Xenopus tropicalis: one gene and its partners. The protein of the gene in region 6 binds, or shares a complex with, the protein of the main gene of each other region. Links are inferred from orthologs where the notes say so. Each region holds a gene or a part of one and is shown on either strand. Other genes may lie near its edges. The genes, in order: ramp1, ramp2, ramp3, adm2, adm and calcrl.

Region 1 (4,084 bases), about 13 Mb from region 6:
ATATCAGGGTGTTTTCCTACCCCCCTGTTGTGACAACAAGAATGAACAATGAAGATACACCTGTTCCCCTCTACTGATCACTTGCATATGATGTTAATGGGGAAGCCACTTGGGCTTGAGATTTTTGCCTGAAATGTAGTGAGGCAAACATGGCAAACTGTGTTTTCAGCCAAGAATTGCCTTTAAGCATGTGTTTATACATGTCACACAGAGAATGCTATGGGCAAGTGACCTGTGCTACAAGTAGCACAAAGAAAAACTCAATTTGCCAACTCATTTAAAATTATGGGTTACTGTACTTCCAACAGAGGGGGGTGTTGGAAGAGCCAAGATAGGGCAGGGAAAGGTGACACAAATGAATGGGAAAGGCCACTGGCAGCCTGCACTCTAATATTCTGGGCTACCTGGACTTTGTGGGAAAACAAGGACTGAATGCAATATTCACTGTGTGGCGGATAAATTCAATCCTTGGAACTCTTTAGGCACACAGCCCCCCATCCCCACACCTGCCCTCCTAAACAAGATGGATGGCATGACAAATGGCAACCCCAGTAGCACCCTATCTCCCACCCAAGAGTGGCCAAGGGCTGAATCCATCTCTCCAGCTCTGAGCAGCTGATTGCCAGAGACACAAGCGGATTCCATGCCTCAGGCTGGAGATAGGAAGGTACCATGACTGGTACAGGTGACTCCCCAGCCATTTCCAGGAATGCCTCCTTATAGAGAGCAGGCTGGACACTCCCCTCTGTTAGTTGGATGCCTCCACCAAGCGACCGGCGCTACATTTAGTTTGGGTGCCCGGGTCAGTAAGTTACACACACGGACACTCCGGGCAATGAGAGAGCGACCTTCCTCCCACACAGACACACGCCTGCACTGCCTGCCATTCAAAAGAAGTTTCCCGTAGCGGCGGAGACAATCCCAGCGGAAGGCTGAACCCAATCCAGTGTAAAGTGGAGCAAACGAGGGAAGACTGCCTAATTGGCCGTGTGTCGCCCCTCAGTGCGGGACGGGAGAGCCCAACTCGCAGGGAAATGCCTCGCCGCCTCACTCACTGGAACCCAGCTGCCACCTGAGGGGGGATATGGGAGGCTTTGCGCTTTATTCGTCCAATACCGTCTGTCCTACAGAACCATTCTGACTGCCGACTGCATCAAAGTATTATCAGTGCTGGGTGGTCCATTTTGGCTCCTCCTGTATATTTTGGTAGGGGGGGGGGGGTGAGGGCATTTGTGCTGGTCCTGCACCTGGTTGCTGCACCCAACAGTGGGACTAAGAACTGTGCTGTGATGGACGCCTCCCTGTGAGATACACCGGCAGCACAGACATGCCACAGGGATTCCTCCTCAACCCCCAGCACCTTCTATGGATCCTCCTAGGTGAGTGGCCATCCCTGCCATACCCAGCACAGTTGCCATGTTCTACTTCTCACTCTCAGGGTTCCAGTCTGACAGCTGATAATTACTATTTACTGTGCCTTTTCCATTAAACTATCTCCTATGGGTAGAGCTCACACCCTTTCTCATGTTTATCATCACATTGAGCCTCACATGGCTGTAACAGCAGCTTCTTTACTTCCCATAGTTGTAACATACAATGTGTGATTTACCTGCACAGTGAATGGTCCAGCCTGCACCCAGGGTAATGCTACTCTTTAGTTTGCCAGTCATCCATACATCTTAGAAAGTTCTGTTTCTATCTCAGAAAGTTTGCACAGATACAGCCTTTTTATTATAGTGTCTTTTCTCTGTACTTGTTATGTAGTATCATTTGGTTATAACACCAGGACCCATTGAGCCCAATGCCTTATAGATATCATTATAGGTTTGCCAGTTGGAGGAGTCACAAGAATGGAGAAGCAGGAAAAGGTGATGTACCGTGTTAGCCAGTCAAAAAATGTTTACAGGGTAACCCTTTTGAAATAAAAAATACCAAAAGTGGTATAAAGGTGATACCTTTGGCTTGCTAAGATAACCATAGCAAGCTTTCAGAACATTTTAGTTCCTTTTTCAAGCTGATTACCTTTGAAAAAGGAACTAAAATGTTCTGAAAGCTTGCTATGGTTATCTTAGTTAGCCAATAAAGGTATCACCTTTATACCACTTTTGGTATTTTTTATTTCAAAAGGGTTACCCTGTAAACAAGAATGGAGAAGAAATTCTCTTATGTAGCAGATAATGCATTGGGAGTCAAATACACAGTTTCAAGGTTGAAGTTTTAAAAACACCAATAAATATTACTTGATGTATAATGTGATCCAGTAATCAATCCAGTTACATCTGCTGCTGGACAAGGGTATCCCAGTACAGATTGGGCATGCTTGGGGGCTGTGTGTTTAAGTGATGAAGCTGAATTGTCTGCCTTGGGAGAGAGTCTATAAACATCACTAATAAGAAAATGATTAATAATCTTGCTAAAAAAAAAGCCTGTAAGGCATAGTTGTCCTTGCTTCCTTATACTCTCAGCCACACTTTACAAAACATATACATTTTTAACTTCTAAAAGGTAACCTCCTCCAAATACAAAGTTTTCCCTGTTGTACAATGCAAGAATGTGTAATTCTAAGCAACTTTTAAATATTAATTTATTACACATTTTCAATGGTTTTAAAATTATTTGTAAATGTTATTACTATTGATAGCAGTGTCTGTCTGGCTGTTTATAGTCTGAGCACTTCTGGCTCCTGGAACTATGTAGCAGCTGATTAACAGACCTGGGGGAGAACTGAATTCTGCTACATTGTTTCAGAAGTCAGAGCCAGAGAAGAGAAAGGGATAAACAGATACTGCTTATGATCCCAGTTACATTTACAAATAACTGTAAAACTACTGAAATTTTATAGTGACAGTTGCTTTTATTTTGCAAAAAAGAAACACACAATTGAGATTGCACAAAACGCGATTTTTCTTGCTGCATTAGCCAGGGCATTGCTGGTACCAAGCAAACTCCATAAAAAAAATCATTGGAATCCATATACCTTTGCTTTATGTGATAGCTGCACATAACCTGATACAAAGCAGACTCCATAGAACTAATAGAGGCATACTCATAATGCTTATAACATGTTATCTCTCCAAGTGCCACAAACCTCTCTGGGGTGTTTCGTCCAGCTTGTTTGCTGTAGAACAAAGACAAAGCGAGGGAGCAAGTGTTCCTTGTGCAGATTTTGGGGGGAGAGGGGTACTGCCAGCTGAAATAATGTGGGAGGGGGAATGAGTGTTGAGTTTTTCTTTGCAGTAATTAGAGGAAGGTATGGAAAAATGGCTGCAGAGCTGCTAATAATAGGAGACAGATAGGTTTTTGTCTTGAGGGTAAGTAAAGAGTACTGGCCTAGTTGTGCCGCACAAATGAGCTCGTTTTATAAGTAAGACCTGGAACATACTTGTTCATTCAGTTCTGATAACCTGTATTTTGGCAGATGTTATTATGGGTACCAAAGCTGTGCCACTTTCTGTGGTAATGCGATGCATATCCCTGAGGTACTGTATTAGTAATGGCTCTAACAGCTAAGAAGTGCAACATTCAGATCCAATGCTTATTTGTCCTATAGGTTCTCTTTAAAATGAGCTTTACATATATTGTATGTGACCTACTCAGTTACTTTTCATTTGGTCTATTTGTTTCTTTTTACTTATTTGTCCATGAATTCTGCCTCTTTCCAGGTCTCAGTTAAAATGCCATCTGGTTGCCAGGGTCACTGAATACAGCACCCCCCCAAAAAAACTAAAAAAAACCATGAATTCTGTCACTTTTTTTAGAGTATTTGTATTGGATATCTATTTGTTGAAGCCATCTACTTACTATTAATCTTGAATCTACAAATCCATTTTAATTCCAAACAGCAGAGCAAATAAAATATTAAAGGGGAACTATCATTAAAACGCAAAATCAATATGATCTTGGGAAAAAACTGTCAAAATATAATCACTTACAGAGCACTTGCACCCAGGACATGGCTGCACTCTGCACCTTACTCTACGGGCATAACGTTTAGAGCACAGCATTGTGGGAGTTGCTAAAGGTGCTTCATGCAACTATTGGACCTCCCTAGCATGTACCTCTGAATGATGTCCAAGTTAGGAGC
Region 2 (3,500 bases), on a different chromosome or scaffold from region 6:
TGTAGTTATTGGCTATATTATTTGGGAATGCAAGATTCAAAATTTCAGCCAAGTCCTCTAGGCATATTCTTAAATTACTGTAATGTCTAGGATAGAAAAAAAAAAAACTAGTTATACAGTGTGTGCACACAGTAGTGGAGTATCATCTAATGATGAACCCAGATATATACAGTATGCTACTACAGCACAAATTAGTTCAACAAAGCAGAGAGTCACAAGTTTCACAATCAATGAAACAGTCAACTCTTGGCATTGATCATATTGTCACTATGGTACAATTGTCTGCTAGAAAGAGAACCCAGATTACAATAACATCCTTGATTATGGCCCATTATTACCTAAATGAAAAGCCGCAAAGTAACTGCTGCTCAGTCAGACTTTAAGATAGGCAAAACATAAAAATATTTGGTTTCAGCGGTTTATGCTTTTGCCAAGACTATTTTCTATACATAAACAAGAAATTAAGGCTAGGGGAATGGATTAATGGAAGGGTGTGGGGGGGTCCAGGGATTAAAGCAGCAATATTTGTACATATCAAGGATACAGTAATCCTTATTTTGTTGAAATGTGTTGTTGTATCATATACAATAGTAGCTTTCATTGAGAGAATTATATAAATAAGGCATTTTATACACCAGTTCTTAGTGTTATTGCAGTTGTCTAAATTTGACTGTATTGTTCAAAAACAATTGCATCTAAAAACAACCCATTAAGGCCCCCCTCCTGGGATTGTACAATTCACAGTGTACACAAACAAACCAAGGCCCACATACAACAAGAGCTGCATAACTTCATATCAGGTGATCTCTGAGGGAGCACACAGACTATCACAAAATGGCCGCTCAAGGTAAAAGATGCACAAGGGCATTATTTACTAATATATTCCAGTTTGGTAAGATTCTTTATAGGCCACTAAATATGATATAAACTATGTGCTGGTTAAGTATTCATTCTGAGGGTACAGTTCTCCTTTAAGACAGGGAAGGCCATACCCTCCTGTATTCTAATTCATAAAGAGCATTGTTCCAGATTCTATATTTATTTTATTCTAGACAACATGGGTAATAGGCTGAAAAATGTATAAAGGTGTTATAGTATGCTAGGGTCTTCTTAATTGCACTTTTATTCTAGCCAAAAAAAATTGTATGTTTTAGGTCCATGTCTTGAGGTTTGAAAAAACACTGACACCGTATAATTTAATGTTGAGAGTCATTAATAATATCATGAGTCCAGGGCCGTATTTATAATAAGGCACCTCAGGTGCCTATAAGTTTTTATAAAAAAATGCGCCCAGCCTCCGCCATGGATTGCCATAGGAAATCCAGCAACGGAGCTGTGGGGTCAGGTTGCTCTGCGGAAGTGTGCACGATGTGCGTGATGTCACTTCTGAGACATAGGCGCGCAACCCGACCCCCCAACCTTCCAGCTCCATCGCTGAGCGTGATATCACACGCGCACACACGATGAGCATGATGTCACATGCATGACGTAATGCAGTAAAATAAATTAGCACTAATTTCATATATTGGTGTTCTGAGCCTGACAAGTATATATACTGTATATCAGGGGTCCCCAACCTTACCTTACCATCTTACTCGTGAGTCACAGTGAAATGTAAAAAGACTTGGAGAGCAACACAAGCATCACAAATTAATAGAAGTGCCAAATAAGGGCTAAGATTGGCGATTAGGTAGCCTCTATGCACCCTATCAGCTTACAGGAGGCTTTATTTGGTAGTAAGTATTGTTTTTACTCAACCAAAACTTGCCTCCAAGTCAGGAATTCAAAAATAATTACCTGGTTTGGGGGCAAGGGATTGGTGAGCAATATGTTGCTCACGAGCCACTGGTTGGGGATCACTGCTGTGTATATATATCTCAACAAAACACAAACCCTTTTGATATTTTTACAATGTCTACCTGTTGATATGATGCCATTCACACCAATTATCCGAGTTTACTGTGGACATATTCCTGGTGTAACCAAGCCAACATGACTCTGCAAAATAAAGATGCATTGACTCTGCAGGAAAGAAAATTATAAATAGAAACTTTATTGTTATTATTACTATTATTAGCACATATTTATAAAACATATAGAATTATAAAATACTCTGCAACTGATACAAAAGAGAGCTTACACTTAAGAGTTATAATAATAATCTATGGAATTACACACCTATATACATTCTATAGTATTTTTCAAATAATTGCATAATAATGTCCTTTTTAAGAAAAATCACCAGGTTATAGATACATTAAGCACTGTGCTACCGTTCAGTGGACACCCAATGATAAATTCATCACAAATCTTACCCTTGCCTGGCCTTTAAGCTTGCCCACCCCTTAAACTTGCCCACCCCCTTTAACTTTCCTATATTCATTTAATATGAAACTTCAAAGTGGTTTTGTGTCATAAACCGTAATTCAGAGAATGCAAATATCAGACAGCTATCCCTTGCAACAGCAATGTATACTAGAATGTTGCACAGAATTACAAACAGCTACTGAAATTCTAAACTAGAGAGTTGATAAATAAAAAGCTAAATAATTCAAAATCTCTAAAAAAAAATTGCATAGACCAATTGCATATTGACTAAAAAGTTATATATCATACTAAAAGTTAGTTTAATGCTGAACTACCCCTTTAAAAGTGATCAATGCAAATTACTTTTGTACTCAACAAACACTATATAAGTATGTAGTTAGAACTTCAATGAGATATCACATCAAAATCAAAACTTACGTATGTCCTTAAAAATGTGCTTGGTCTCATTATGAGCAGAATCTGTGAGGTTTTGCTGGACTGCCACTGAACTGGCAACTGTGGAAACAAACTGGCATTAGGAAAAAAAGTGCTTTAAGGAGCTTTAATTTTATTGACTTCTGAATACACTGGGTGGCTGAAGGTCAGGGGCAAACTGACCCTTAAATTAGTCAGCAAATTTTGTTCATTATTCAAGTCAGGAGTTTGAAGGGAGGAACCAGGAGCAGCGGTTTGTGTGGAGATGTAGTCAAGTCAGACTATTTGAGTAGCTGGCCAGCCAATCCAAGGTATATAAATGGAGTTTTCTATAAGGCTGTACCAGAGATAGATACTCCATTTATGAAACCCAGTTCTGCAAGACAAGTGCAAAGTGGTCAGGGACCAGGGGTCATGGGAAAACATGTTTTTTTCAAAATGTGTAAGTAAAAAGAGCTTTTCCAGCAGAATTCTGCATTGAAATCCATTTTTCACAAACACAGATTTTTTATATTTTATTTTGAAATTTCACATGTGGCTAGCCATATTCTTCTTTCCCAGGGTGTTACAGTCCTGTGGCCTGTGCTCTGATAAACTTCAGTCACACTTTACTGCTGAGCTGCAAGTTGGAGTGATATCGAAATGAGCAGCCGATCAGCAGAACAACGGGAAGGTAGCAAGATAGCGGCTCCCAGTTTATATCAGAATAGCACTCAATAATAAGAAATCCAAGTTCGGCTTGGGACTCTTCCAGTTAC
Region 3 (4,167 bases), on a different chromosome or scaffold from region 6:
TTCTACAGCAACCCCTAACACATTAAATATGTTTGCTCAGCCTCATTTATATTTGTTAAACGAATACTTATTGCATTAAGGCACAACAACCAGCTCTCACAAGGGACATGGGTGCAGGCACATTTTTCTCTTCAATGTATTGCTCTATCTTATGCAATCAGCAAATATGATTCGATCAGCATAATCGCAGCAGTCTTCTCAAGACTTTGTGCTCCTGGGAATGAGCAAGTAGACCTACAGCATAAAGTAGGAACAGATACCTGTTCATCAGCCTGGAAGGGTGAAATGTTATAACTATGTACAATGTCCTATTTAACAGTTTATGCAGAGTGTAATCTGAAAATCTATATTTAAAATGCACACCCATTCCTATCAGTGTATTAAACAAACCCACAAGACACATGACTGAAATAAAATAACGGCTACAGATAAAATTGTAAGATGATAAGTGAAAGTAGAGACTTATAAAAGCATAACTGTGCAAAAAGTACTTATTAATCATGTAATCTGTCTACTTTGTAAGAGCAAATCATTAATTTTTCTATAGCAAAATATGTTATCCACATGGAATTAGGTATTTTGACTACTCAAATACAGATGTAAACTTAAATACTGGTTGCATTTGTTGGACTGTGTTGGTTATCCTGGCAATGATAAGTAGATATCCTTGTTATGATAGAAGAGGCAGTAATCAACCTGCTTTTAACCATAGGAGGGAAGTAAAATGACTTTTATAGCTCAGTCTTTAACAATACAGGTATGGGATCTATTATACAGAAAACTTGGGAGCTGAAGTTTTCTGGATAAGCAACCCTTCCATAATTTGGATCACCATACCATAGGTCTACTAAAAATCATTTAAACATTAAATAAACCTAATAGGATTGTGTTGCCGCCAATATGGATATATATAGCTTAGTTACATTCAAGTATAAGGTGCTGTTTTATTATTTTAAAGGAAAAGGAAATCATTTTTAAAATGGAAAATAATTTGCTTAAAGTAGACTCTGTGGAAGATTGCCTTCTGGTAAGTCGGAACTTTCTGGATAAGAGATCCATACCTATATATTTTGATCCATGATAAAAACCAGTACTAAAGTTTTTTTTCTGGAGTCTCTAAACACAAGGGAAGAGATTAAATGATTACTGGTCATTTACGATAACTGAGGAGAGACCAGAGACAATTTCATAAAGTCTCCATTATTATTTTCCTTTATTTATAAAGTACTAAAATATTCTGCAGATCTTTACAGAAAAACCCTGTCCAAGTGAAACTTACAATCTAATGCCCCTATAATATTCACACACAATATGAGCATTTTTATCAAGGGACGATTTTTGTGGGTGGAAACCTATACAAACACAAGAACATAAAAACTTCCAGCCTTGGCTGGATTCAAACCTAGGGCCCTGGTGCCAATCACTGTTCCATTCTGCAACCCCACTAAAACAACAGACCACAGCTATATTGTGTTGCCATATAGCGAAGCTATTGTTTTAACCACCATTGTGCAACTTCCATGCATTTCTTTTTAACATTTGATTCCATTACTTTTCTTCAAGATGTTTGCACCTTGTTTCCCCCAGCTTGCAAATCTTGACATCCTTATTTATTTATTTATTTTAGGCATTTAGTTAGCTACTGAGCTAGACTGTAAGCTCTACGGGGCAGGGACCTCCTTCCTACTGTGTCTCATACCGCATGGCACTTATATATATATATATATATATACATATATGTATTTATTTATTATATCACTTGTCCTCCCTGTGTGTAATTTTGTATTCTGTAAGACTGTACAGCGCTGCGTACCCTTGTTGCTCTTTATAAATAAAGTTATACATACATACATACATACATACATGAATCCCTATTTGCTGTTATATGAGTATTAGTTCTGCCATAGCACCTCAAGTGTACATTGCTGTGAGTGTGGCTCCTTGATTTGTGGCAGGTATAACAGATAGATCCTGGCTAATACAATTACAGTACTTTCTTATAAGAAAACTCAAGTTCACAGACTGCACCCTGTGCTTGGCCAAGGCATAGTTTCACACTGAACAAGAAATGCCAGATGGATGCTAGCGAAAGGGGCAGAGGCAGTGACAGTGATCAAAAAATGAATGGTCAGATAGGGACAGACCGATTGGTATAGAAAATAGAAAGAAAAAACGAAAGATAGAGAGCTTGATAGATTATATATCTATAGATGGGAGGTAGGAGATAGATACATCTGTTTCCCTGGATGCCAAATGAACTGGGATCCATGTTTTTAAACAATAGCTTATTGCCATGAAGGAAATCCCATTTATCACCCAGCGGTTGTGTTCTTTGAAAGGAACAAAAGAGCCAGCAGTTGTTGTATGAGTGCCCACCAATGTCATACCCAGAGGGAGTGATGCCCCCATTCCCCCAGGCACACACAATGGGGCCACTTACCACAAACCAGAGACAGGAAAAGTTGCAGCAGAGCCAAGATGTGTTTATCCATCCCGATCCAAGGTAAGAGGCGCCGGGCGGGCAAAGGAAAGCATCTGAGGAGGAGGTTTCAGTAAAGCAGAGGAGACTTCATTGAGGAGATCGGCGGTGACAGTCACATAAACTTCTCTCTCCGTAATAACAGCAACAGCAGCAGTAGCGACACAAGACGAGAAAAGGCAGCCGCGGGCAATGGTCGTGTGTGTGACCGAGCTCCTATCAAACTCCACTCGAGATCCCCGTTACAATGAGCGGATTGTCATAATGACAGCGATACTCGCAATCCCTCAGCACGGAATGTGCGGACAATAAGAAGGCTGAGAATACTGCCGCTATGGGATTATTGGGATCCCCTGATAGCCGAATGTGTCCAGCCAGAAGGATGACAATGTGTGTAGTTTGCAGTGTGGTGCCAAAGTCTGGATCCTGTCACACTGTGCATCTGGGCAGCCTGGAGGGCGGGGCTTGCTGTGCATTGGGCGCTGCAGGGTCCTAGTACGGCGGGGAGCGCTGGCTGTGCAGCTGCAAATGCCTCTACATTGGGTTATTGCCACTGCTTGTCCGTAGGGCAGATAGAGTGCTTGGCTTGATGTTGCAGGCCCCGCAGAGCAGCACTTGGAGAAGGAAAGAAAAAGCTCCAAAGTATAGGGTAGCACCTGTAGGGAATGATTATACTAAGGTAAAATGGTGTCAAAACTGTTATCTCAGAGGTTTTCTGAGCCTCTGGCAGCTAGAGAGCAATAACAGGTTGGAATCTGGATAAGGGGGTGTTGTATATCAGAAGCTACTTTGTCTTTCCCACAGGACCACCCATCACTGGTTATTGCACACAGGGGCATGTTTATAAGGCAGTGAAGAGAATTAGCATTTCCATCCCCACTTTTTGCACTGCCATTCTCTGTTGCCATCAGGAACAGAAGCCACTGGTGAAACCAGAAGTAATAAATGCCCTGGCATAAAGGAACCTAAACCTGAAACCCACATTTTAACCTTTTTTATAGATAATATAAGAAATATATATGTCTCATCCAAAAGTCATACCTGCAACCTGCAGGGTACCAGATTTTTTGGCAGGTAACCTGCTGCTACCTGACCCGCTGCAAAACTCTAGCCTGGGCTACTAAGGAAAGCAGTGGTGGTGCACATTTTTTCTCAATAGTAATTTACATTAATGACAGTGGGAAGGAAACATGAGATGTTTTGTCACCCATGCTAGAAAAAAAAAAAAAAAGAAATGCCCTGGGTGCCAGAGCTCTTAAATAAGTATGTAAGTGAAACTTGCTCAGAAGCTAGCCTTGTCTGTTCAATTGCATGAGTTTATGAGGGTGTAACTAGACAGAAAGTGAAGCTTATAACTGCTTGGGAGCCCAAAGGGCACTGACTAATAAGCAGGTTCAGTATTATTTAAACGTCAAATTCTCATAGTTTGGGGAGAGGGGCTAAAATGATTTTGCTGTGGGGCCTAACAACTTTTGATTATGCAACAACTTATTCTTGCATACAAGTCTACTGCACTTGCAAGGCTTTGTTCTTTTTACTTTAATGGACATTTAGGGGTATATTTATCATGCTGTGTAAAAGTGGAGTAAAACATCACCGGTGATGTTGCTCATAGCAGCCAAACAGATGCTTTGCTTTCATTTTGTAACTGTTGAAAGCTAATGTAAAATGTTGGCATTAATTATGGC
Region 4 (3,148 bases), on a different chromosome or scaffold from region 6:
ATGTTGGAGAAACTATGTATTTTTTTACAGTGAAAAAGTAACACCCCCTAAGTGGCCAAATCATCATGGAAGTGGTAACATATAACTTAGCTTTTTAAAACAATTTTTAGAGTATCTCTTACATGGGAGTACCTTCTTTTTACCCAGTGTTTCACAAGTTATTTCAGTTTAATACATGAGTTCAATATGAGCAAGCTTATTGTAAGATAAAAACTTAGTAGCTGTCCATTAGGTGAGATATCCACCCTGATATTGGGATAGTATTAAATGTACATTGGGTAGATGCAGTAATGGTAAAACAGGATGCTCTGCACAAGCAAAATGTTTTGTATGTAAGCACTACTCTGTCTAGTGCAAATCGTGTAAACAACAATAAGGACACAGCAAGCACAATAGTCAAAATAGACATACAGACAATTTTTAAAGGCAGAAATAACTGAAGGAATGCTAAAATATGGAGAAGAAATAAGCTGTGAGAAGGATGAGACAGACACAGAGAATTTTATGCTGTCTATTTACTATAACTTATGAGTATTTCACACTGTCTGGTGAACAAGAACTGGATGCTGTTCTTATATTACGTATGATGTGGTCTTTGGTGCCTTCACCCAAATGGATCAGCCATAACTGTGTGGGTTGCTGAGTTCAATTGGTGAATCCTCTTTTCCCGATTGTCCCATCAACTGCCAAAGTCGGTGATTAAGGATCTGTACTTGGCAAGTCCCCAGGGAACAGCCCACACGCATAAGGCGAGGTCCATGAGAACGACGAACCCGCCTCTTCTTCCTCCTCAAGGTTCCCAGATTAAGCAGCTTTGTCTCAGCTACTGATGGAGTGAAGAGTGACAACTCTATCAGGGGCCCTTCCTTGTGCCGTTTTTCCCTGTCAGGGGGCTCCCTGGAAAAGAAAAAGTGGTAGAAATATGTTTTAATTTATGCTTGCCCATTTGTATTAAAGGGGACTTGTCTCCCAGACATAAAAAGCAGTATAATAGTTACATAGTTACATAGGGTTTAAAAAAAGACCAGAGTCCATCAAGTTCAACCCTTCCAAGTAAACCAAGCACATACAACCTATACTTACCAATTTATACTATCACATACATAAACTATATATACAACCATTAATACTAACTGTAGATATTAGTATCACAATAGCCTTGGATACTATGCTTGTTCAAGAACTCATCCAGGCCCCTCTTAAAGACATTAACCTTTATCTGCCATTACAACATCACTAGGAAGGGCATTCCCCAACCTCACTGCCCTCACCGTGAAAAACCACCTACGCTGCTTCAAATGGAAACTCAGTTCCTCTAGTATAGGGGAAGGGGTGGCCTCTGGTGCGTTGATCACTTTTATGGGAAAAAAGAACACCCCTATCTGCCTATAATCCCCTCTAATGTATTTGTACAGAGTAATCATGTCCCCTCTTAAGCGAATAAAAGTCCTTTTCAAATGAAACATTAAACTATTTTTGTTTTGTTAAAGCAACCATACGTGTTGTAATTGTTGGAAATCACAACTGACGATGATACTTAGCCTTTTCCTCCTCTATACCTCAAGCATAGACGTGGAGCAGGTAGTTACTTTCACTTTCCATTTAGCACTTCCATAGATGTCACTGCACTCCTCTCATTCCCCCTCCCTCCTCTGTGTCTATAATGGAGTAGCCTGTCCTGTACATAGTCATGGGTATAAGCCCCCCATAATGGTGCATAAACAAGATTTTGGAGTGATACAAAGTTTGCCTTAAGTGATACTGACACTAAAAAACTACTTTTCAAAATATGAATATATTTATGAATATATAAAAGTTACCTATAGGTCATGGTGATGTTTTTCCACTGACAGGTTTGCTTTTGTAAGTAATTGTTACAGGAAGGCTCTAAACCTGACTTTTCCTACTCAGTCTGTCAGTTATAGCTTCTAATGCTAACAGACTCATGAGGAACATGGGAGATCAGACAGGGAATGTAAAAGCATCAGACAAATACTTTTAAAGCAAAATTATAGACAGCATTCAAAGACAATGTTATGATTGACATTAAAAAAGTTTAATTTTAGCTGTCAGTATCTCTTTAATAACACTGCCCACACTGCCTGTTTTCTGTGATTGTGACTCCTAATACTGAAGCAAACAAGTTTATATATTTTACTTTACTTGTAAGTGAAGTTTATCTTGCCTGACAATTACAAAATTAAAAAATTTGAAATTACTTTCTTTTAGTGACAGGTCCCCCCCCCCCCCAAAAAAAAATTGCTACTGCTGTTGATTGTTTCCTTGGGTATAACAGTGCAGATTCACTATTACAAAATGAACTCGCCTGACTGTGTATGTTTGAGCAGATCAGCGTAATCAAGTGTATGACTGAGAGCAGAAAAAAACACTTCTGATGTTCGCATGACTGCAGGTCCAAGGTTCATCTCTAATATTATCCAGTTAGCAGAACTGAGCTGCTCATCCACACAGTAAGAATGATACAGATCAGCCAATTTCCAGCTACCTACTCCAACCCAGAACACTGAAATTGCTTAATGGTCAACAATCACAATTTTTCTTAATTCCTGCTTCTAGGTATAACATCATCTATATATCCATATATATTTTTACACAGGTTTGAATAGTGCTGTATTATTGTATTGGATACCATAGTTGATATTATATATCTAGCATTTCTATTATAATTATCCTCCAACTCAGGGAGCTAGACCTTCTCCCAGCCAAAGGCTGCCTGAGGAAAATAACAGCACTGATTATAAAGAGTTTACAGGGCATATTTTGCCATCCTTGCTTCTTTGTATCTTATATTTTATATCTTTCCTTTCTTAAATTTTCATATGTTCACTGACTTTTCATTTTGCTCTGTATCACTGTAACAGTAATATCCAGCAATGCATGCTGAATATAAGCACAGTGAGAGAAGGTAGGCAATTGCCCAGTTTCCTACAATTGTTATACTGTGTGAAAACTCTAAGGGGCAGATTTATTATATTGTATAAAAAATGCTGGCAAAATTCACCACACATCGCCAGGCTTCACCACATATAAAACACTGTAAAATCGGCGCAATCTTTTTACATTTTTTTCTTCCACCAGAACTTATGTAAAATAATGGTGTAAAATCTGGCATTCAGAGGGTGAACGT
Region 5 (4,286 bases), on a different chromosome or scaffold from region 6:
AGGGGAAAGGGGAGCAAATAGCACAAACACACCCCCACCCCCTGGCAGCCAGAAAGAAGTTTTTGTCGCTATATCTCCGGCCACCACAAGGGGGAGCTGTTGGGACCTTCTGGTCCTCACACTGAGGTTGAGACTTCGCTCTGCAGATCCAAGGCAAGATTAACCCGATATTGCAGCACCCAGCCAGGGCCATATGATTTGGCACCCACCCTAAAGCCGGTATCCAGTTTGTGTTATTTCGGTGTGTGTGTCCCTTCCGTCCATAAAGTGCAAAATAAAACAGCAAAATCCCATATGTAGACCTTGTTCCTTTTTGTTTATTTTACTGCCATGTCCACAGGTTGTTCGACCACCTCGAACCCGATCCTTTTGTTGCATTTCTAACACTTTTACGGCATTCCGATCCCTTCGGCGGGACTCACACCAGGAATTCTATGAGCTCCTCTGAGCAGAAGACCTTTCTGAAGAAGTTGCTACATCTCCATTTGGAGGGTTTTCCTTCTTCTTCTTTTTTAAGTCTTGAGCAAAGCTTCCAATATTTTGCCTTTTTTCCAGGTTTCCCTGCCTTGGTTGGGTTTTCCAGCTGAAACAATGTCCATAAGTCTTGGTTGGGTTCCACCAGGCTGGTTTGTGCTGACCCAGCTTGGCTTGATGTGACCATCTCTGACTGTCAACTGGAGCTTATTGTCAGGGAGAGACCTTCTCCTCCGGCCGTACCCCTGTGAGCTGATCTTGTTGACTGGTGCTGTGCTGTCTTTGTCTTTGTCGGTGTACTGGAAGATCTGGTGTGCCAAGTTCTGCACCGTGCAGGTCCCAAATCTGCAGCCCACTCTCACCGACTGTAAGTGGTGGAAGGTATGTCTGTACCTCTTTACACGGATGTGGGCATCATTGCTGCAATCAAAACAGACAATGGTAAGAGAACTGAACATTCTTCAGACAAGAGAACCTACCTCCCTAGAGAGAAGAACCTACACCCTATAGAGTAGAACCTACCACCCTAAAGAGAAGAACCTACACCCTATAGAGTAGAACCTACCACCCTAAAGAGAAGAACCTACACCCTATAGAGTAGAACCTACCACCATAAAGAGAAGAACCTACACCCTATAGAGTAGAACCTACCACCATAAAGAGAAGAACCTACACCCTATAGAGTAGAACCTACCACCCTAAAGAGAAGAACCTACACCCTATAGAGTAGAACCTACCACCCTAAAGAGAAGAACCTACACCCTACAGAGTAGAACCTACCACCCTAAAGAGAAGAACCTACACCCTATAGAGTAGAACCTACCACCCTAAAGAGAAGAACCTACACCCTATAGAGTAGAACCTACCACCCTAAAGAGAAGAATCTACACCATATAGAGTAGAACCTACCACCCTAAAGAGAAGAACCTACACACTATAGAGTAGAACCTACCACCCTAGAGAGTAGAACCTACACCCTATACCACCCTATAGAGTACATCATGGACACCAACCAACACTCCTCCACAGCAGAGGTTGGTGAGAAAACTGGAACCCTTTAGGGTTGGGGAACACAAATAAAACTGACCAAGTCCAAGACCAAGAGAGAAGACTTCATAGATCCAAGATGCCCACGCCATAATTATAACTGAGATCTCTAAGAGACGTGAACCCCAAGGAGAGATGGCTGACAAGTCTTCAGCACACACATTGGAGAACTAAACTGCACAGAAATAGGGATAACCCCCACCCCACACACACTCACTCACAACAGGGAACTGCAAGAGGACTCTACACCCAGCACCCAAAGCTCTCAAAACTCCAGCACCCACCCCCTTCATTCTGCATCCCCGTTACTGGCTCATTCAGAAAAATGCTTACACTAAATAACAGAGCTGACCCTTGCCCAGCAGGTTAGTCAGTGGACTGTGCTTAGGCTGCAGATAATGCAGGGCGGCTGTGCCCTTGCCGGCTCTCTTACCTGCTCTGGTGGGAGCTCAGGGGATCCTTAACGTCCTCGTTTTTGACAAATGACGTTTCTGAGGCTGCTTTAGCCGCTGATGCTGATTGGACGTCCGTCTTCAGATCCCTTCTTAGCCTGTGCATCCCAAGGGAGCTCCATCTACAAGGGCACCAAACAGGTTTTTGTAAGCAACACGTACGTCTAAGGACTGGACTAACCACTTGACATTTCTAGAAGTAAAGGGCAAGTACAAGCCCTTTGGGAGTCGGGATACTTACTTTTTTCTGTCTCCCGGGATAAATTCCATTCTGCCCGCAACTAATCCCAAAAAGGTCAGACAGATGAAGTGCAGCAGGAGAATTGCTTGGCACAGATCCATTCTGGACTGGATTCTGTAGGGGAAAACAAGGCAACATTATTATTATTATTATTGAAAAATACCATTTATTCTATCTACTCTATAGTATCTAGAGTTCTGTAAATGTGCAATAACTCCATAAATATCCTTATTTCTATTTCTAAAGCTGCAGGACTGGGTAGATTTCTATACATGACTATACGGGGATGTTTCTGCGCAGGTGTAGCTATCAGCCAACCACCTGCAATCTATGCTCTGTGCAGAAACTGATATGGCTGTGCAGAAACACCTTACAAACTGACCTAAATTCCTCCCAAATTCGAAATAAAACTCTAAATAAAATACATTTCTAACCCCCTCGGTGCTAAAAATGTGAAGCTGAAAAGCTGCCGTACCTTTTCTGTGTGATGATAAGAAGTATAATCCAACAAGGTTCTTCCAATGAGAATCCTCCAAGCTATAAGGATAGAGAGAGAGAGCTGCTCTCTGTTGGCTGCTATTTAGTAACAACTGGCTCTCAGGGCTGCTCGGCTGCCTTATGTACAGAACCAAGGGGGCGGGGCTGAGTTTGAGTGACAGCTCTGCTCTACAGCTCTGCAGCTCACTGCTAATTTCTATGGAAAGTTCTGTGCTGTATAGGTTAAGGCACAGGTTTCAAACACAGATAGAGCTACGGTAAGGATATTGTGGGTGCTGGGGGGGTTACAAGAAGGATTTAATCTCTCCTCTGGGGATTGGTTAAGTAGCATGAATAAATTATCAAGCTCATGAAAGCAATCAACTTTCTCCTGAACTACTGGAATGGGGGGGTTATAATATTAGATATAGTTTGGGGTGTGGCATGGGTTCTGTTTTTAATCTGTTTGTAGCCCCCCCCCCCCCCCCATTAGCTCAGACATAGGCTACAAAATATATAAAATAAAAACACATAAGAACCCCAACCTATTGCCTCGAGGGGGGGGCAGTTACTGGTGACAGATACATTAATCTCCCCATTTTCCATAGAGAAGTCATATATTAGTATTTGGGGGTATACTTTGATAAATGAAGCCCTTGGATCAAGCTTTAGTGTACAGGGGAAGGGGTAAGCTGTTGCTGAACTACAACTCTCATGAACACATATTTGTGTCGAAGGGGTTAATAAGGTAGGGAACATTTCTAACATTCCTGGACTGCTTGAATTAACAGTAATTAGGCATCTCTGGGATGTTGGATCCAGGCAATTGTGTTTGCACTTGCCCACAGAACTGGCGTATGGATATCAGCCCTCTACTCACCCCCCCCCCCCCCCACTTTGTTTGTTGGTTTTTGTGTGCTACCTAAAGGGCATATACATAGTATGCCGAGAGAGTCGTGACATCTAGAAGTATCATGCCTTTGGGCTGAGTCACCCCATGTTGTCATACTGCTAGCTGGGGCAGATAGGGAGGAGTGGGGGTAGATGACGCCTCCCTTGTGATTTGGGGATAACTCAGCACTGTGAGCAATGGGAATGGTATTTGCACCTCCTTTGTTGCTGTTTATTTTGGGAGCCCCAAGTATCTCTCCAGACTTCAGGTATGGGGAGTCCATTTGGTTCTGAAAATGTACCCAAGGCATGGGCTGGGCTGAGACCATTTTCAGCACATTCTGCTCAGATCTTCAGAAGGGGAGCAGGACCAACGTTGATCCACTGTATAACTCCAGAACTTGCTGACCACTTGGAAAGGGTTTGGAATCTCAACCAGACTTGGGGCTGACTCTAAACGTCTGAAGGACAGTGCTAACTTCTTCTCTAGCAGTGGAGTTCATTCTGAGATCTTGATGGGTCCACTGTGTTACTCCAGAACTTGCTGACACTTGGAAAGGGTTTGGAATCTCAACCAGACTTGGGGCTGACTCTAAACGTCTGAAGGACAGTGTTCCCCTCTTCTCTAGCAGTGGAGTTCATTCTGAGATCTTGATGGGTCCACTGTATAACTCCAGAACTTGCTGACACTTGGAAAGGGTTTG
Region 6 (3,500 bases):
TCCCTAGTTCTTACATGTAAATTTCTTTTATAGTTCTTGCTGGTTTGGGCTCAGGCTTGGAAAGCCCTTGATTTTCTGGTTCTGTAGTTTTTATTGGAATATTATAATAATAATTCAGATTGAATCTAAATGATTTAAACCAAATATGAACCCCCAATTTTTATATTCAAATTTGAGAAAAATATAAAATTGCACCAGCTGTAACCAAAATGTGCTACATTCAGTTGTCTAGAGCTTTAAGGTTACACAACATGATTTTAATGGGTTAGATTCAGTGTAACTGAACACTAAGGGGTGATTTATCAATTTTCAAATTGGAATGTCTGTTTGCAAAATGCAAAAAAACAGAAAAATTAAGCACTTCGTGTAGAAGTCAATGGGAGTTGTCCTAGGCAAAGTCAAGCCTTATTTTCCATTCAAGATATTCAAGTTTTTCGAGTTTGTAAACTCAAAACTTCGAGGTATTCAGGTTTTCCTATTTGAACAAGTTTACCATATTAATAAATAAACAAGCTTTTGTTTTTTTTTTAAAATGCGAAATTATTCAAATTAGAAGAAAACTCTAGAAAGAACGTGTGACAATAGAAGAATGTAATTGTTCATAAAAGTAAAGGGTAAATTAATTATTTAATACCAATTAGCTTCATTCCCTTAAATATATAAACGTGCAACTTACTGGGTTGGTTGCTACTAAAGCTTGGTTATTGGCCACGGCTGATAAAGATATTATCGTGATAATAGAGTTGCAAACAAAAGAGAAAAATAAGTTTTTATGGAGTGTAATTCTCTGGCAGCTCAAGTTCCTAAAAAAAAAATATTGTATTAAGAAAATACCTTAAAAGTAATATATAATAATCAATATACACACACACAAATACATTGCATTATATTGTTTTAATTATACATGACTAATAATTCATATGTGTTCACAGTGCTAAGCAATCTATATATGTTGCCAAGGCATATGTAAAACAAGTTATTTAACAAGGCTCATATACTTAATATTGGGCAAGATCCTGGAAAAAAAAAGAAAAGATAACAAGCTGGATAGGTTTTTTAAATGTTGATATGGAATGCCAAATATTTGCTCTAAACTTAGATTTTAAGGGGCAGATTTATTCAAATGTGAGTTTAGAGCTCAATATGTAAAACCAATTAATCTGCCTATATGTTGTTTAAGACACACAGACACTGATATATCACAGAAACTCCTTAAAGTGATACTTACATGGAAAAACTACGTTTTAAAATATGAATCTACATAAAAAGTTATCTATGGGTCATGTTGATCGTTTAATTCTGATAGGGCATCTTATGTTAGTAACTATTAGTCAAAGTTCTTAAACCTGACTGTTTTGCCAACCTGACTGTCAACCTGTCAGTTATAGCTTCTAATGCCAACGGACTCCTGCTGCACAAATATGGCAGCCCCCTCATAGAGGAACATGGGGGGATCAGATAGGGAATGTAAAAGAATCTGACAATTACTTTTATGGCAACATTATAAATAGCATGCAAAGACAATTTTATGTCCAATGTAAAAAAAAAAAAATATTTCTGGTGTCAGTACCTCTTTAAGGCCTCTTGGAGGCCAGATATGGCCTCTAATTAAACAATCCTTAAACAATCCTAAAATATTACCCGTCATTATTATTATTATTGCAGTAAATATGAATAGAATAAGGGTGAGTTTTTATATATTCAAAATTAAGCAATTTGTGAAAAGAGTGCAAGTTTTGAGCAAGCCTTAATAATGGGGTACTTTAATTGACTGGAGCAATAATACTGAAAGCACAGTTAGAGTACACATGTTCCTAAATGTATTGCATGACATATCAAGATTGTTGAGGACCCAACCAAAAGTTATGCAATATTAGATCTAGTAATCTTGAACAACCCAGAATGTACCAATAATATCTCACTACCTCAATTAATGTGTTTGTTGTAAAAATAAAGAAATGTTTTCACTGGATAGCAGACTTTAAAATTCAGGAAAGAAAACTTTAGCACCTTAAAACAATTACTTATTATATAATGGCCAAATTGTGTATCAATGTTCCACTACTACTCACAATGAAGTAAAATAACATAATGAAACAAAATAACACAATTGTAACTTACAAGTATTACACAAAGCCATAAAGATCATAATCATGATTCATCCCCTGAGGCTCTAATTATCCCAGGGTATGAGTCCAAAATGCCTCATGTTTTTTTCTTTCTTTTTTAAAATATGATTTTCTATTACCTCCATGCACCGGAATCGATTCTATCACAGCATATCGCAATGAGAGGTGCTATTGTCCTGCTTGTTTAAAGGGATACTGTCATGGTTTTTATGGTGTACTTTTTCATTTCTAAATTGCACTGTTTACATAGCAAATAATTCACTCACTAATTTAAAATTTTATTCTTGAACCAACAAATGTATTTTTTTTAGATGTAATGTTGTTGTGTAGGCAGCCATCTTAGCTTTCAGAAGGAGCCAGTGCTACACATTAGAACTGCTTTCAGGTAACCTATTGTTTCTCCTACTCCCATGTAACTGGAGGAGCCCCAAGCCAGACTTGGATTTCTTACTATTGCTACCTTCTCATTGTTCTGCTGATCGGCTGCTGGGAGGGTGTTGATATCACTCCAACTTTTCTAATTGGACCAGTGTTGTTAGTGGAGTACTGCAGGGGTCAGTCCTTGGTCCTTTGCTTTTTAACTTGTTTATTAATGACCTGGAGGTGGGCATACACAGTACTGTTTCTATTTTTGCTGACAACACTAAATTGTGCAAAACTATAAGTTCCACTCAGGATGCTGTTGCTTTGCAGAGCGATTTGACAAAATTGGAAAACTGGGCAGCAGTTGGGGGGATCCTTAATGGAGAAGGATCTAGGGGTTTTTGTAGCTAACAAGTTGTGTTATCTAATTCCAGGAAGTGTCATTCTGTGGCTACTAAAGCAAATAAAGTGCTGTCTTGCATAAAAAGGGCATTGACTCAAGGGATGAAAACATAATTTTGCCCCTTTATAGGTCCCTGGTAAGGCCTCACCTTGAGTATGCAGTGCAGTTTTGGGCTCCAGTCCTTAAGAAGGATATTAATGAGCTGGAGAGAGTGCAGAGACGTGCAACTAAACTGGTTAAGGGGATGGAAGATTTAAACTATGAGGTTAGACTGTCGAGGATGGGGTTGTTTTCTCTGGAAAAGAGGCGATTGAGAGGGGACATGATTACTCTGTACAAGTACATTAGAGGGGATTATAGGCAGATAGGGGGTGTTCTTTTTTTCCCATAAAAAGATCAATGCACCAGAGGCCTCCCCTTTAGATTAGAGGAACGGAGCTACCATTTGAAGCAGCGTAGGTGGATTTTCATGGTGAGGGCAGTAAGGTTGTGGAATGCCCTTCCTAGTGATGTTGAAATGGCAGATTCTTTTAATGCCTTTAAGAGGGGCTTGGATGAGTTTTTGAACAAGCATAGTATCCAAGGCTATTGTGATACTAATATCT

What was found.
Region 1: the proteins of calcrl (region 6) and ramp1 are in contact, whole or in part, in a cryo-EM structure (PDB 6E3Y), measured with the Homo sapiens proteins. The link is inferred for Xenopus tropicalis from reciprocal best matches to the Homo sapiens genes CALCRL and RAMP1. Residues at the interface, in NP_001258680.1 of Homo sapiens: Asn39, Met42, Thr43, Gln45, Tyr46, Glu47, Tyr49, Gln50, Lys51, Ile52, Met53, Gln54, Thr68, Trp69, Asp70, Gly71, Arg113, Arg119, Thr120, Phe228, Leu231, Ile235, Thr239, Val243, Ala244, Gln250, Trp254, Tyr255, Leu258, Phe262; in NP_005846.1 of Homo sapiens: Trp59, Ile63, Tyr66, Arg67, Ala70, Phe83, Trp84, Pro85, Asp90, Phe93, Leu94, His97, Gly98, Phe101, Arg102, Cys104, Pro105, Ile106, Ser107, Gly108, Arg109, Ala110, Val111, Arg112, Asp113, Pro114, Ile118, Leu119, Phe122, Ile123.
Region 2: the proteins of calcrl (region 6) and ramp2 are in contact, whole or in part, in a crystal structure (PDB 3AQF), measured with the Homo sapiens proteins. The link is inferred for Xenopus tropicalis from reciprocal best matches to the Homo sapiens genes CALCRL and RAMP2. Residues at the interface, in NP_001258680.1 of Homo sapiens: Arg38, Asn39, Ile41, Met42, Thr43, Gln45, Tyr46, Glu47, Tyr49, Gln50, Lys51, Ile52, Met53, Gln54, Trp69, Asp70, Gly71, Arg119; in NP_005845.2 of Homo sapiens: Trp86, Ile89, Tyr93, Ser94, Arg97, Leu109, Gly110, Pro112, Glu117, Ile120, Phe121, His124, Gln125, Phe128, Ala129, Cys131, Ser132, Leu133, Val134.
Region 3: the proteins of calcrl (region 6) and ramp3 are in contact, whole or in part, in a cryo-EM structure (PDB 6UVA), measured with the Homo sapiens proteins. The link is inferred for Xenopus tropicalis from reciprocal best matches to the Homo sapiens genes CALCRL and RAMP3. Residues at the interface, in NP_001258680.1 of Homo sapiens: Arg38, Asn39, Met42, Thr43, Gln45, Tyr46, Glu47, Tyr49, Gln50, Met53, Trp69, Asp70, Ser117, Arg119, Thr120, Phe228, Leu231, Ile235, His238, Thr239, Val243, Val245, Lys249, Gln250, His251, Trp254, Tyr255, Phe257, Leu258, Phe262; in NP_005847.1 of Homo sapiens: Trp56, Cys57, Leu59, Phe62, Ile63, Tyr66, Glu67, Thr70, Cys82, Tyr83, Pro85, Asn86, Pro87, Leu88, Gln90, Ile93, Thr94, His97, Arg98, Cys104, Thr105, Val106, Asp107, Arg108, His110, Leu111, Glu112, Asp113, Pro114, Val118.
Region 4: the proteins of calcrl (region 6) and adm2 are in contact, whole or in part, in a cryo-EM structure (PDB 6UVA), measured with the Homo sapiens proteins. The link is inferred for Xenopus tropicalis from reciprocal best matches to the Homo sapiens genes CALCRL and ADM2. Residues at the interface, in NP_001258680.1 of Homo sapiens: Val36, Thr37, Lys40, Asp70, Gly71, Trp72, Asp90, Tyr91, Phe92, Gln93, Asp94, Phe95, Asp96, Pro97, Ser98, His114, Ala116, Ser117, Thr120, Trp121, Thr122, Tyr124, Thr125, Asn128, Thr131, Lys134, Val135, Ala138, Leu139, Leu141; in NP_001240774.1 of Homo sapiens: Leu106, Arg107, Val108, Gly109, Cys110, Val111, Leu112, Gly113, Thr114, Cys115, Gln116, Val117, Gln118, Asn119, Leu120, Ser121, His122, Arg123, Leu124, Trp125, Gln126, Leu127, Met128, Gly129, Pro130, Ala131, Gly132, Arg133, Gln134, Asp135.
Region 5: the proteins of calcrl (region 6) and adm are in contact, whole or in part, in a cryo-EM structure (PDB 6UUS), measured with the Homo sapiens proteins. The link is inferred for Xenopus tropicalis from reciprocal best matches to the Homo sapiens genes CALCRL and ADM. Residues at the interface, in NP_001258680.1 of Homo sapiens: Val36, Thr37, Asp70, Gly71, Trp72, Asp90, Tyr91, Phe92, Gln93, Asp94, Phe95, Asp96, Pro97, His114, Ser117, Thr120, Trp121, Thr122, Tyr124, Thr125, Asn128, Val135, Ala138, Leu139, Leu141, Phe142, Thr145, Thr191, Leu195, Ala199; in NP_001115.1 of Homo sapiens: Cys110, Arg111, Phe112, Gly113, Thr114, Cys115, Thr116, Val117, Gln118, Lys119, Leu120, Ala121, His122, Gln123, Ile124, Tyr125, Gln126, Phe127, Thr128, Asp129, Lys130, Asp131, Lys132, Asp133, Asn134, Ala136, Pro137, Lys140, Ser142, Pro143.

What each region holds. Positions count from the first base shown.
Region 1 is NC_030685.2:59,191,349-59,195,432, reverse strand, and holds the start of ramp1 (receptor activity-modifying protein 1 precursor), read left to right. Parts: upstream 1-1,284; 5' UTR 1,285-1,327; coding exon 1,328-1,379; intron 1,380-4,084. UniProt on the Homo sapiens protein: Accessory protein that interacts with and modulates the function of G-protein coupled receptors including calcitonin gene-related peptide type 1 receptor (CALCRL) and calcitonin receptor (CALCR). Required for the transport of CALCRL to the plasma membrane.
Region 2 is NC_030686.2:22,072,069-22,075,568, forward strand, and holds part of ramp2 (receptor activity-modifying protein 2), read right to left. Parts: intron 2,824-3,500; coding exon 2,746-2,823; intron 2,023-2,745; coding exon 1,920-2,022; intron 87-1,919; coding exon 1-86. UniProt on the Homo sapiens protein: Accessory protein that interacts with and modulates the function of G-protein coupled receptors including calcitonin gene-related peptide type 1 receptor (CALCRL) and calcitonin receptor (CALCR). Required for the transport of CALCRL to the plasma membrane.
Region 3 is NC_030682.2:59,345,802-59,349,968, forward strand, and holds the start of ramp3 (receptor activity-modifying protein 3 precursor), read right to left. Parts: upstream 2,801-4,167; 5' UTR 2,493-2,800; coding exon 2,441-2,492; intron 1-2,440. UniProt on the Homo sapiens protein: Accessory protein that interacts with and modulates the function of G-protein coupled receptors including calcitonin gene-related peptide type 1 receptor (CALCRL), calcitonin receptor (CALCR) and G-protein coupled estrogen receptor 1 (GPER1).
Region 4 is NC_030679.2:89,361,201-89,364,348, reverse strand, and holds the end of adm2 (protein ADM2), read right to left. Parts: intron 898-3,148; coding exon 618-897; 3' UTR 501-617; downstream 1-500. UniProt on the Homo sapiens protein: Intermedin/ADM2 is a peptide hormone that plays a role as physiological regulator of gastrointestinal and cardiovascular bioactivities mediated by the CALCRL-RAMPs receptor complexes.
Region 5 is NC_030680.2:7,312,291-7,316,576, reverse strand, and holds the start of adm (ADM), read right to left. Parts: upstream 2,801-4,286; 5' UTR 2,690-2,800; intron 2,329-2,689; 5' UTR 2,316-2,328; coding exon 2,215-2,315; intron 2,096-2,214; coding exon 1,955-2,095; intron 895-1,954; coding exon 513-894; 3' UTR 1-512. UniProt on the Homo sapiens protein: Adrenomedullin/ADM and proadrenomedullin N-20 terminal peptide/PAMP are peptide hormones that act as potent hypotensive and vasodilatator agents. Numerous actions have been reported most related to the physiologic control of fluid and electrolyte homeostasis.
Region 6 is NC_030685.2:46,305,106-46,308,605, forward strand, and holds part of calcrl (calcitonin gene-related peptide type 1 receptor precursor), read right to left. Parts: intron 804-3,500; coding exon 677-803; intron 1-676. UniProt on the Homo sapiens protein: G protein-coupled receptor which specificity is determined by its interaction with receptor-activity-modifying proteins (RAMPs). Together with RAMP1, form the receptor complex for calcitonin-gene-related peptides CALCA/CGRP1 and CALCB/CGRP2.